3 linked regions of the Macaca fascicularis genome follow. The protein of the gene in region 1 interacts with the protein of each later gene in a pairwise test. Links are inferred from orthologs where the notes say so. Each region holds a gene or a part of one and is shown on either strand. Other genes may lie near its edges.

What was found.
Region 2: the proteins of TRIB3 (region 1) and ATF4 interact in binary tests that used the Homo sapiens proteins (3 or more experiments, as listed by UniProt). The link is inferred for Macaca fascicularis from reciprocal best matches to the Homo sapiens genes TRIB3 and ATF4.
Region 3: the proteins of TRIB3 (region 1) and APOBEC3C interact in binary tests that used the Homo sapiens proteins (3 or more experiments, as listed by UniProt). The link is inferred for Macaca fascicularis from reciprocal best matches to the Homo sapiens genes TRIB3 and APOBEC3C.

What each region holds. Positions count from the first base shown.
Region 1 is NC_088384.1:87,020,559-87,024,204, reverse strand, and holds part of TRIB3 (tribbles homolog 3), read left to right. Parts: intron 1-1,257; coding exon 1,258-1,550; intron 1,551-3,646. UniProt on the Homo sapiens protein: Inactive protein kinase which acts as a regulator of the integrated stress response (ISR), a process for adaptation to various stress. Inhibits the transcriptional activity of DDIT3/CHOP and is involved in DDIT3/CHOP-dependent cell death during ER stress.
Region 2 is NC_088384.1:12,124,558-12,128,197, reverse strand, and holds ATF4 (cyclic AMP-dependent transcription factor ATF-4), read left to right. Parts: upstream 1-923; 5' UTR 924-1,116; intron 1,117-1,720; 5' UTR 1,721-1,812; coding exon 1,813-2,038; intron 2,039-2,139; coding exon 2,140-2,969; 3' UTR 2,970-3,054; downstream 3,055-3,640. UniProt on the Homo sapiens protein: Transcription factor that binds the cAMP response element (CRE) (consensus: 5'-GTGACGT[AC][AG]-3') and displays two biological functions, as regulator of metabolic and redox processes under normal cellular conditions, and as master transcription factor during integrated stress response (ISR).
Region 3 is NC_088384.1:12,650,103-12,653,848, reverse strand, and holds the start of APOBEC3C (DNA dC->dU-editing enzyme APOBEC-3C), read left to right. Parts: upstream 1-1,009; 5' UTR 1,010-1,031; coding exon 1,032-1,048; intron 1,049-2,413; coding exon 2,414-2,570; intron 2,571-3,746.

The DNA of each region.
Region 1 (3,646 bases):
AAATAATCTATTCCAGGCCAGGTACAATGGCTCACGCCAGCTCAGGTCGAGGCAGGCAGATCACCTGAAGTCAGGAGTTCGAGACTATCCTGGCCAACATGGTAAAACCCTGTCTCTATTAAAAATACAAAAAATTAGCCAGGCATGGTGGTAGGTGCCTGTAATCCCAGCTACTCGGGAGGCTGAGGCAGGAGAATCTCTTGAACCCGGGAGGCGGAGGTTGCAGTGAGCTGAGATCACACCACTGCACTCCAGCCTGGGCAACAAGAGCGATCTCCGTCTCAAAAAACAAAAAACAAACCAAAAAAACACCTCTATTCCAGCATCTTTCTTTGTTCCTTTGCAATGCTTATCAGCATTTGTCAATATTTAGTTTCTGGGCATGTTTGCATGGCCTCCCAGCGGGCACCGGAGAGCAGAGCCCATGGCTGTCAGTCCTGCTGGACATGTGGCTGGCCCACACAGGCCCAGGGCCAGCATACTGAATGAATGAAAGGGTGGGTGGACAGTCAAGTGTAGAGGACAGGAGCTGTGATGGTGATGAGCATCAGGTGCCTTCTGCATCATCTGCCCTCCTGGATTCCTCCTGCTTTGAGGGTTATTTTTCTGTTTGGGTGACCTGTTACTTTTCATTTATCTGATGTTTGAGGCCATATAGCCTAGCAGTTAAGAGCACAGACCAAAGGCCGGGTGCGGTGGCTCACACCTGTAATCCCAGCCTTTTGGAAGGCTGAGGCGGGAGGATCACCTGAGGTCAGGAGGATCACCTGAGGTCAGGAGTTTGAGACCAGCTTAGCCAACATGGTGAAACCCCATCTCTACTAAAAATACAAAAATTAGCTGGGTGTGGTGGCACACGCCTGTAATCCCAGCTACATGGGAGGCTGAAGCAGGAGAATCACTTGAATCCAGGAGGCGGAGTTTACAGTGAGCTGAGATTGCGCCACTGCGCTCCAGCCTGGGTGACAGAGCCAGACTCCGTCTCAAAAAACAAAAAAGCACAGACAATGGAGTGCATAGGCTCAAATCCCAGCTGTGCTGCTTGCTGGCTGTGTGGCCTCTCAGCTTCCTTAACTGTAAAATGGAGTGAGTCATCCTACTTACAGGGTGGGGTCAGGGCTGAATGACTCGGGAAGTGAAGCGCTTAGTGCAATGCCTAGCACATGGTAGCACAGCTAGGCCAGCTGTGACTGTTTGCAATGCCAGCCTCAGCTCCCGGGAGTCCCCAGCTGTGCTCACACCATTCTCTGCCCACAGGTGTACCCCATCCATGAGGCCCTAGCCGTGCTGGAGCCCTATGCGCGGCTGCCCCCGCACAAGCATGTGGCTCAGCCCGCTGAGGTCCTGGCTGGTACCCAGCTCCTCTATGCCTTTTTCACTCGGACCCACGGAGACATGCACAGCCTGGTGCGAAGCTGCCGCCGCATCCCTGAGCCTGAGGCTGCTGTGCTCTTCCGCCAGATGGCCACCGCCCTGGCACACTGTCACCAGCACGGTCTGGTCCTGCGTGATCTCAAGCTGTGTCGCTTTGTCTTCACTGACTGTGAGAGGTGAGTGTGGTTGCAGAGCCCCAGCCACAGACACACCCAGGGGGTGGGCCATGATGGAGAGAAACCGAGGCCCAGGAAGGCAAAGTAACTTAGGCAAGAAGTGGAGAGGCTGGAGTAACTAGCAGCCCCTGTCTAGTTCCCTGAGAAGAGTTGACTGAGGCCAGGTGCAGTGGCTCAGGTCTTTAATCCCAGCACTTTGGGAGGCAGAGGTGGGTGGATCACTTGAAGTCAGGAGCTCAAGACCAGCCTGGCAAACTTGGTGAAAGTCCGTCTCTACTAAAAATATAAAACTTAGCCGAGTGTGGTGGTGCACACCTGTAATCCTAGCTACTCGGAGGGCTGAGGCAGGAGAACTGCTTGAACCTGGGAGACAGATGTTGCAGTGAGCCAAGATCATGCCACTGCACTCCATCCTGGGCAACAGAGTGAGACGCCATCTCAAAAAAAAACAAAAACAGAAACAAAAAAAAGAGTTGACTCAGTCCTCTTGGGAGCCCCTTTGGAAGGCTGGGATGGAGCACTGAGATGTGAAAGTCATAGTAGCTGACAGTGATGAAGGCATCGCCACATTATCTAATGAGGTCTTCCATCCTTACACACATGAGGCAGGTGCTATTATTATTCTCATATGATCAAGGAAACTGAGGCCCAGAGAACTCAAGTAACTTGCCCAAGATCCCATAGCAAAATAAGTGGTAGAGCTGGGATTTGAACCTAGATCTGACTCCAGAGCCTGGGTCTTAATTCAATCTGAGCGTGAGAGGCAGGGGGCCTGGCTGGGCTTACCAACTGACTTTGGGTGACCTAGTGTCTCCGAGCCTCAGTTTCTCCATTGGTAGGGAAAAGGGCTGGATTGTTAGGGTGTTTTCAGGATTCTAAGACCACAGCCAAAACATGGTCTGAGGTTCCCCACACGGGCACTTTTTCTGTGAAACTGAGAATTAGCACTTTTTGGTTAAAAGATAATCTTCCTTCTCTAGGTTGGGATGCTAAGAATTTTTTTTTTTTAATTGAGACAGAATCTCACTCTGTCACCCAGGCTGGAATGCTATGGTGTGATCTTGGCTCACTGCAACCTCTGCTGCCCAGGTTCAAGTAATACTCCTGCCTCAGCCTCCCAAATAGCTGGGACTACAGGCATGTGCCACCGTGCCCGGGGTTTTGCCATTTTGGCCAAGCTGGTCTCGAACTCTTGACCTTAGGTGATCCGCCTGCCTCAGCCTCCCAAAGTGCTGGGATTACAGGTGTGAGCTACTGTACCTGACCTAGATGCTAAGAAAACATTTTAAAAGATAATTCTGGGGAGAAGGGCAGAGAGACTCGCCTCCTGTTCCGTCTCCAGACTCCTGGGGGCAGTCAAGATGTGCCAGGGAGTGCACTAAGCTGCCAGTTACACAGGAGTTTTCTGTGGAGAAAGGAGTGTGACCCCATTGCATTTTCAAAAACTTTTTATCTTGAAATAATTTTAGACTTTTAGAAAACCTACAAAAATAGTTCAAAGAGTTTCTATATATCCTTTAACCAGTGTCCTCCAATGTTAACACCTGACATAGCTATGGTACAATTACCCAAACTAAGAAATCAACTTTGGTAGAGTACTATTAACTAAGCCACAGATTTATTCCAATTTCCTGAGTTTCCCACTAACACCCCTTGCTGTGCAGGATACAGTGAGGATCCTAATTTAGTCGTCAGTGGTTTCCTTGGTCTCTTCCAATCTGAGACAGTTCCTCAGTCTTTCCCTATCTTTGATGACCCATGACCTTGACACTTTTTTTTTTGAAACAGGGTCTCACTCTGTCACCCAGGCTGGAGTGCAGTGGTGTGATCACAGCTCACTGCAGCCTCGATCTCCTGGGCTCAAGTGATCCTCCCACCTCAGCCTCCTGAGTAGCTAGTTCTACAGGTGTGTGCCACCCCTCCTGGCTAATTGAGATGGGGTCTTGCCTGGGCTGGTCTCGGACTCCTGAGCTCAAGCAATCTGCCTGCCTCGGCCTCCCAAAATGCTGGGATTATAGGTGTGAGCCAACGCTCCTGGCTATAACTTTGAGATTTTTGAAGAGTACTGATCAGTTACTTTGTATGTCCCTCCATTT
Region 2 (3,640 bases), about 75 Mb from region 1:
CGTCTTCCCGGCTCCTTTCCAGAGTTTAGACGGAGCCATGCAGACTCAGCTGGCCTTTGAGTGTAGGTGGGCAGGCCCGAGGCGCCCTCTCGAGACCCCTTCAACCTCCCGGGGGCAGCAACACCGTGTCGGCTATGAATGGCGTCTCTGGAAAACTCAGGCTTGGAACAGGTAACCCCGCGGTTTCCGCAGGCCAGAAATTAGCCCCCGCAACCGAAGGACGCGCAGGCTGGGAGTGGCGGCGGGGCCGCCAGTGGCGGACCTCCACTGAGGGCGGCGGGACCCGACCGCAGGGGCTGGGCCCTGAGGCCACTATGGGGTGCGCTAGGCTAAGGTCTCCTGGGGGCAGAAGCCAGTGCGATTGTAGCTGGCCAGCAGGCTGGCCGGCCTGAGGCCTGGCAGAGACCCGAGACCCCGACCCTTCCCACGCGGACTCCGTGATCCCTCTCCCAGCAGCCGCCCACCTGGGGCCCTGAGCCAATAAGAGCTCGAGGTATATATGACTCACCGTGCCTGGGCCAATCAACTTGACGCGCGCTTTTCGCCAGCACCTCGCGCGATAACTTGGCGTCCTCGGCCTTCACAATAAAAACTCTCCGCCGGAAAACGACCTCTCCCCGCCCACCGCGCCGACACCGGAAGCGAGGCGTGTCTGCGAGATCACTCCGCGCTCCGGCGGCGAAGGAAAGAACGGACTCTGATCATAGAAGTAAAGTAGTGCACCTCTCTCGTTTCGTGAGGTCATAAGAACAAACACCTTTTCTCGTCACAGCTACGCGCTGGGCATAAACGGTTGGGGCGTCAAAGGGAGGGAAACGAGCGGGCGGGAGGAGATGGTCACGTGGCCGTGGCGGAAGGATGCGTCGGTGCTGCGTCCCCTTAGAGACGAAGTCTATAAAGGGCCGGCGGGCGGCTGTTGCGGCCATTTCTACTTCGTCCGCCCACAAATGTAGTTTGGTTCGCACGTGTGCGCCTTCCCTCCTCCCCGCCCGCAGGGTCCACGGCCACCATGGCGTATTAGGGGCAGCAGTGCCTGCGGCAGCATTGGCCTTTGCAGCGGCGGCAGCAGCACCAGGCTCTGCAGCGGCACCCCCCCCCAGCGGCTTAAGCCATGGCGTGAGTACCAGGGCGGGTCGTCCAGCTGTGCTCCCTGGGCCGGCGCAGGTTTTGGGTTGGTGGGGTGCGGCCTGGGGCCCAGGGCGGTGCCGCCAAGGAGGAAGCGATTTTACGAGCGCCCGGGACGCGTGGTCTTTGCTTGGGTGTCCCCGAGACGCTCGCGTGCCCGGGATCGGGAAGGCGCATTCTGGTGCCAGGACTGCTTCCACAGGGGCCCTGCCGCCCTCGGACCCCGAATCCCCCAAGGGTCCCAGGGGTCTCGGCTTTCCCCCCCCGCGAAACGTGGCAAGAACCAAGATGGCGGCGGCAGGGCGGCGCCGCGGGCGTGAGTCAAGGGCGGGCGGTGGGCGGGGCGCGGCCGCCCTGGCCGTATTTGGACGCGGGGACGGAGCGCCTTCCTCTTGGTGGCCGGTGGAAGAATCGCCTGGTCTCCGTGAGCGTCCATTTTGTGGAACCTGAGCCGCAGCAGGGAGGGGCGGATGCAACTGCCCCGTTGCCGACTCTGTAGATGGCTGGACTAGAGAAGTCCCGCCTCGTAAGTGGAAAGATGAAATTCTCAGACCAGCTAACCTCTAATGGGAGTTGGCTTCTGATTCCCATTCAGGCTTCTCACGGCATTCAGCAGCAGCGTTGCTGTAACCGACAAAGACATCTTCGAATTAAGCACATTCCTCGATTCCAGCAAAGCACCGCAACATGACCGAAATGAGCTTCCTGAGCAGCGAGGTGTTGGTGGGGGACTTGATGTCCCCCTTCGACCAGTCGGGTTTGGGGGCTGAAGAAAGCCTAGGTCTCTTAGATGACTACCTGGAGGTGGCCAAGCACTTCAAACCTCATGGGTTCTCCAGCGACAAGGCTAAGGCGGGCTCCTCCGAATGGCTGGCTGTGGATGGGTTGGTCAGTCCCTCCAACAACGGCAAGGGTGAGTGGGCCACCACCACATCGTCTGGGTGGGATCTAGGGTTAGGGGCCTGTTATCTTTGTATCTGACTCACTTGGCCCTGTCATTCAAATCTTTTGCAGAGGATGCCTTCTCCGGGACAGATTGGATGTTGGAGAAAATGGATTTGAAGGAGTTCGACTTTGATGCCCTGTTGGGTATAGATGACCTGGAAACCATGCCAGATGACCTTTTGACCACGTTGGATGACACGTGTGATCTCTTTGCCCCCCTAGTCCAGGAGACTAACAAGGAGCCCCCCCAGACGGTGAACCCAATTGGCCATCTCCCAGAAAGTTTAACAAAACCCGACCAGGTTGCCCCCTTCACCTTCTTGCAACCTCTTCCCCTTTCCCCAGGGGTCCTGTCCTCCACTCCAGATCATTCCTTTAGTTTAGAGCTGGGCAGTGAAGTGGATATCACTGAAGGAGATAGGAAGCCAGATGCCACTGCTTATGTTGCCATGATCCCTCCGTGCATAAAGGAGGAAGACACCCCCTCAGATAATGATAGTGGCATCTGTATGAGCCCGGAGTCCTATCTGGGCTCTCCTCAGCATAGCCCGTCTACCAGGGGCTCTCCAAATAGGAGCCTCCCATCTCCAGGTGTTCTCTGTGGCTCTGCCCGCCCCAAACCTTACGACCCTCCTGGAGAGAAGATGGTAGAAGCAAAAGTAAAGGGTGAGAAACTGGATAAGAAGCTGAAAAAAATGGAGCAAAACAAGACAGCAGCCACTAGGTACCGCCAGAAGAAGAGGGCGGAGCAGGAGGCCCTCACTGGCGAGTGCAAAGAGCTGGAAAAGAAGAATGAGGCTTTAAAAGAGAGGGCGGATTCCCTGGCCAAGGAGATCCAGTACCTGAAAGATTTGATAGAAGAGGTCCGCAAGGCAAGGGGGAAGAAAAGGGTCCCCTAGTTGAGGGTAGTCAGGAGCGTCAGTGTGCTTGTACATAGAGTCTCTGCTGTTGCTGTGTGTTGGAATAAATTATTTTGTAGGGAAAGTACTTGTGTGGATTCTTTTTCTGGCAAATTAGCCGAGTGAGGCGCCACCCACCCATCCCAAACTGGTCATAACATTCCTTGTGAGATCTGGGGAGGAGGGCAGTCCAGGACTGAAGATGGGTACCCAGAGTGGGAACTGCTCGCCCTGCTAGGTGTAAGCCACGATGCCTGATGACTCATGGGGCCATACAGCCAGATAGTTGGCCAACTGTAGCAAGTTGGGTCCTTTACCCAGAGGTGAGTTCGCTGGTTGTGTAGGGAGGAGGCTGGAGCTCTCTGGGAGGTTGGGAGGGAGGGACAGCCTGGGCCTCCACCTATTTATTCAAGAGGGCTTCATGCCAACAGCTGTCGCCTGAAACCCTGGATAAGCTTGCACAGTCCTTGAGATAAGCACACAAGATTAGTTTTCACTTGTTACCCTGAGTTCTGTAGAAGCGTGTTCCTGAAGAAAGAAATGGCTCCTTTTCGGAATTGATGCTGAAGCAGGACAGGAGCTGAGGGTTGGCCTCCATTTCTCCTTATGGGGTGGAAGGATGACATCCTGCACAGGTTCTGGCTAGAGCTGGGCACAAAGGCGACAGTTCC
Region 3 (3,746 bases), about 74 Mb from region 1:
TCTCTTGGCAGGGGCGTCACCGCTTGACCAAGGAGCCTTCAAGCGGCCCTTACGCAGGTGGGACAGAGGGCTCACCTCTTGTATTCTCGGTCATTTCTCACAACATCCCTTCAGCACTTGACCATATACCCACCAGTTACATAATAATATTGATATTACTCTTAATAAAGGAGTGTAATATTAAAGAGTAATAAAGAGTAATATTAAAAGCTAATGATTAATGTCTATACTAATGATTGATAATGTCCATGATGATCTCTACATCTAATTTGTATTATAACTATTCTTATTGTAAGTATATTCTTTACTATACTGAAACAGTTTGTGCCTTCAGTCTCTTGCCTCAGCACCTGGGTCATCCTCCACCCACACCTCTGAGGGGCTGACCTGCGCCCCACCTTCTGGAAGCTGGGAGGTTGGAAGAGGGAAGGCATGCAATGGACCCAGCACACAGCTGGGAACTTGAGGCACACCTAAGCCTTCACTTGTGCTGTGCGGAGTCCACACTTCCTTCCCCACTGGAGTCTCAAAACCTCCCTCACTCAACAGGGAGGTGCTGCTCAAAGTTCTGGGCACACATTAGGGCTGGGGAGGGGGCGGTGGAGAGGGGGCTCCAGCCTGTCCATCCACCAGACAAGGGGGCACCTGCCCCTCTCTCAGCCTGGTCTGGACCCGCCTCCCAGGCTCTGGCTGCAATGCCTTTCTCTTTCTCTTTCTTTCTCTTTGCAATTCCGTTGGGTCCTGCCCAAGACAGATAAAGACAGAGCAGCCTGTCTTTGTCTGAGCTTCCTCTGCCAGTGGGAGGGGCCAGAAGAAAACCAGAAAGAGGGCCAGAGTCAGAGAAACGGAAAGCACCCCAGGGTCTCCCACACCAGTGCCTGAGCAGGAACGGGGAGGGGCCATGACTCACAAGGCCCTGGGAGGTCACTTTAAAGAGGGCTGCCCAACTGCAAGGACTCTGTAAACGGGAAGAGAAGCCACAGCACTTCAGAAAAGAGTGGGACTGGACAAGCGTATCTAAGAGGCCGAACATGAATCCACAGATCAGGTACCTCTGCCCGCTCTGTCTGCCAGGCCCCTCCTGCCCCTTCCTGCCTGGTGGTCCTGCTGGGTCTCAGCCCTGGCCTCCCCCTGCCCCAGCCCCACCTCTGGGCTCCCTCCCCTCTGTCTCCCCCGCCGCCGACACTCCCAGCCAGGCTCCTTGCCCTGCTGTGTGGTCGCCCCACTGCTGCTTCTGAATGGGCCACCTTCCCCACCTGCACCAGCCCAGGCCCCCTGCTGAGACTCTCCCCAGAAAGTCACCACTGGGCTGGTGCTCCCCACCCTGGGAGGGTGCTCCCTCTGTGTGTTTCCCACCATTCCTGAGCTCTGGAACTGGGAGAATTGAACCAAAGGATGATTGGGTCAATCCGACATTTTGTTCTCAGCACTTTGATGAAATTTCTGTAAGATTTACTTTGTTTCAATATAAAGTCTTAGGAGAGGGTGTGGGGGAGGGAATGGTCTCTGTACCAGAAAATAAGGCATTTCTTCCAAAGATGCCACCAGTGTGAACAGAGGAGGATGCATATGACTCCAGACACAGGCTCCTCCTTCGTGAGCACCATTCCCCTTTTAAAATGACCCTGGTAACATGGAATGTAGAAAAAATATGATGATTAGGACAAATACCCTTATTTTACCCAGGGCACGGTGGCTTATGCCTGTAATCCTAGCACTTTGGGAGGCTAAGGCGGGTGGATCACTTGTGGTCAGGAGTTCGAGACCAGCCTGGCTAACATGGTGAAAGCCCGTCTCTACTGAAAATACAAAAAATTAGCCAGGCGTGGTGGCGGGCACCTGTAATCCCAGCTACTTGGGAGGCTGAGGCAGGAAAATCCCTGAACCCGGGGGCCGGAGGTTGCAGTGAGCCGAGATTGTGCCACTGCACTCCAGCCTGGGGGACAGAGCGAGATGCCATCTTAAAAAAAATAAATAAATAAAGGTAGCCTTGGCCTGGGGAATTCGGTGTGATATCATCATCGGACAGGTGAAATGGGAGGAAGGAACTGAGCTGAAATGTTCAAGCAATTATTTCAGGGTGAAGAGTTTTATTGTCTGTTGCATTTTCCTAATGGGTTGGGAGATGTGTGGCAGAAAAACTGGGAGGTTGAGGGTGTCCCATTGGTAGCCCCAGAGCTGGGGTTCCAGATGGGAGAGGTCACTGCAGCCCTGCTGCCCCTGCCAGCATCGCCTCCTCTTTCTCTCTCCCAGTCTTCCTGCCTGGGAAAGCAGCAGACATTCTCAGGACTGCGGAGGGATGGGGGAGGCCCAGAGCCCAGGGCCGTCTAGGGAGTGGTGTTCAGTGGGCATCAGCCCCCAGGACTCCGGCGGGGGGGGTCTCTGCATTGGGGTTTCTCTCTTGTGCCCTCAGAAACCCGATGAAGGCAATGGATCCAGGCACATTCTACTTCCAATTTAAAAACCTATGGGAAGCCAACAATCGGAACGAAACCTGGCTGTGCTTCACCGTGGAAGTTAGAAAGCAGCACTCAACTGTCTCCTGGGAGACGGGCGTCTTCCGAAACCAGGTAGCACCAAAGTCTTAGTTGCACCCCAAATAGGAGCTAAGCAGCTGGGAATGCAGAAAACACAATAAGTGACGTGCCTGGTGCGGGCTCTCCTGTGTGTACTTTCTTGCCACATGTCTTTTTTTTTTTTCTTTTTTCTTTCTTTTTTTTTTTTTTTTTTTTTGATATGGAGTCTCGCTCTGTTACCCAGACTGGAATGCAGTGGCGCTATCTCAGCTCACGGCAACCTCTGCTTCCCGGGTTCAAGTGAGTCTCCTGCCTCAGTCTCCCAAGTAGCTGGGATTACAGGTGCCTGCCACCACACCCAGCTAATTTTTTTGTATTTTTAGTACAAATGGGATTTCACCATGTTGGCCAGGCTGGTTTCAAACTCCTGACCTCAAGTGATCCACCAGCCTTGGCCTCCCAAAGTGCTAGGATTACAGGCGTGAGACACCATGTCTGGCCTCCTCCCCACATTTTTTAAGTCCGTGGCCCAGATCTTCCTCCCTGACTCTCCTGTGATCAGATTGTGGAGGGGTTTTGCTTCTTCCCAAAAGGCCTTGTTTAGCACCCAGCACCCTCACTCTTGACTTTGTTCCCCAAAATCTTGTCATGGAGTTGTACATCCGGCAGTCCTCGGGAAACAGCAGCTGTGGGAAGCAGGGGGTGTGGTGTCCAGCTCTGTGTCTGGGCCAGTCACTGCTGGGCTCGTGGGGCCGCCCCTGCCACTGCCCTGATTCCTCAGCAGAAGGCAGGCAGGGACCAAGGCAGACCCCAGAGGGCCAGGCCATAGCAGGGGCTGAGGATGCCTGGTGAATGGATAGCTGGGAGAAAATATGGCAGAATTCACACATAAGTCTATGAGACAGGGAAAGACTCAATAAAATAAAGAAGGAAGGGGCCGGGCACGGTGCAGTGGCTCATGCCTGTAATCCCAGCACTTTGGGAGGCTGAGGCAGGCAGATCATGAGGTCAGGGATTCGAGACCAGCCTGGCTAACATGATGAAACCCCATCTCTACTAAAAATACAAAGATTAGCCAGGTGTGGAGGTGCATGCCTATAATCCCAGCTACTCAGGAGGCTGAGGCAGGAGAATCGCTTGAACCTGGGAGGCAGAGGTTGCAGTGAGCCAAGATTGTGCCACTGCACTCCAGCCTGGGTGGCAGAGCAAGACTCCATCTCAGAAAAAAAT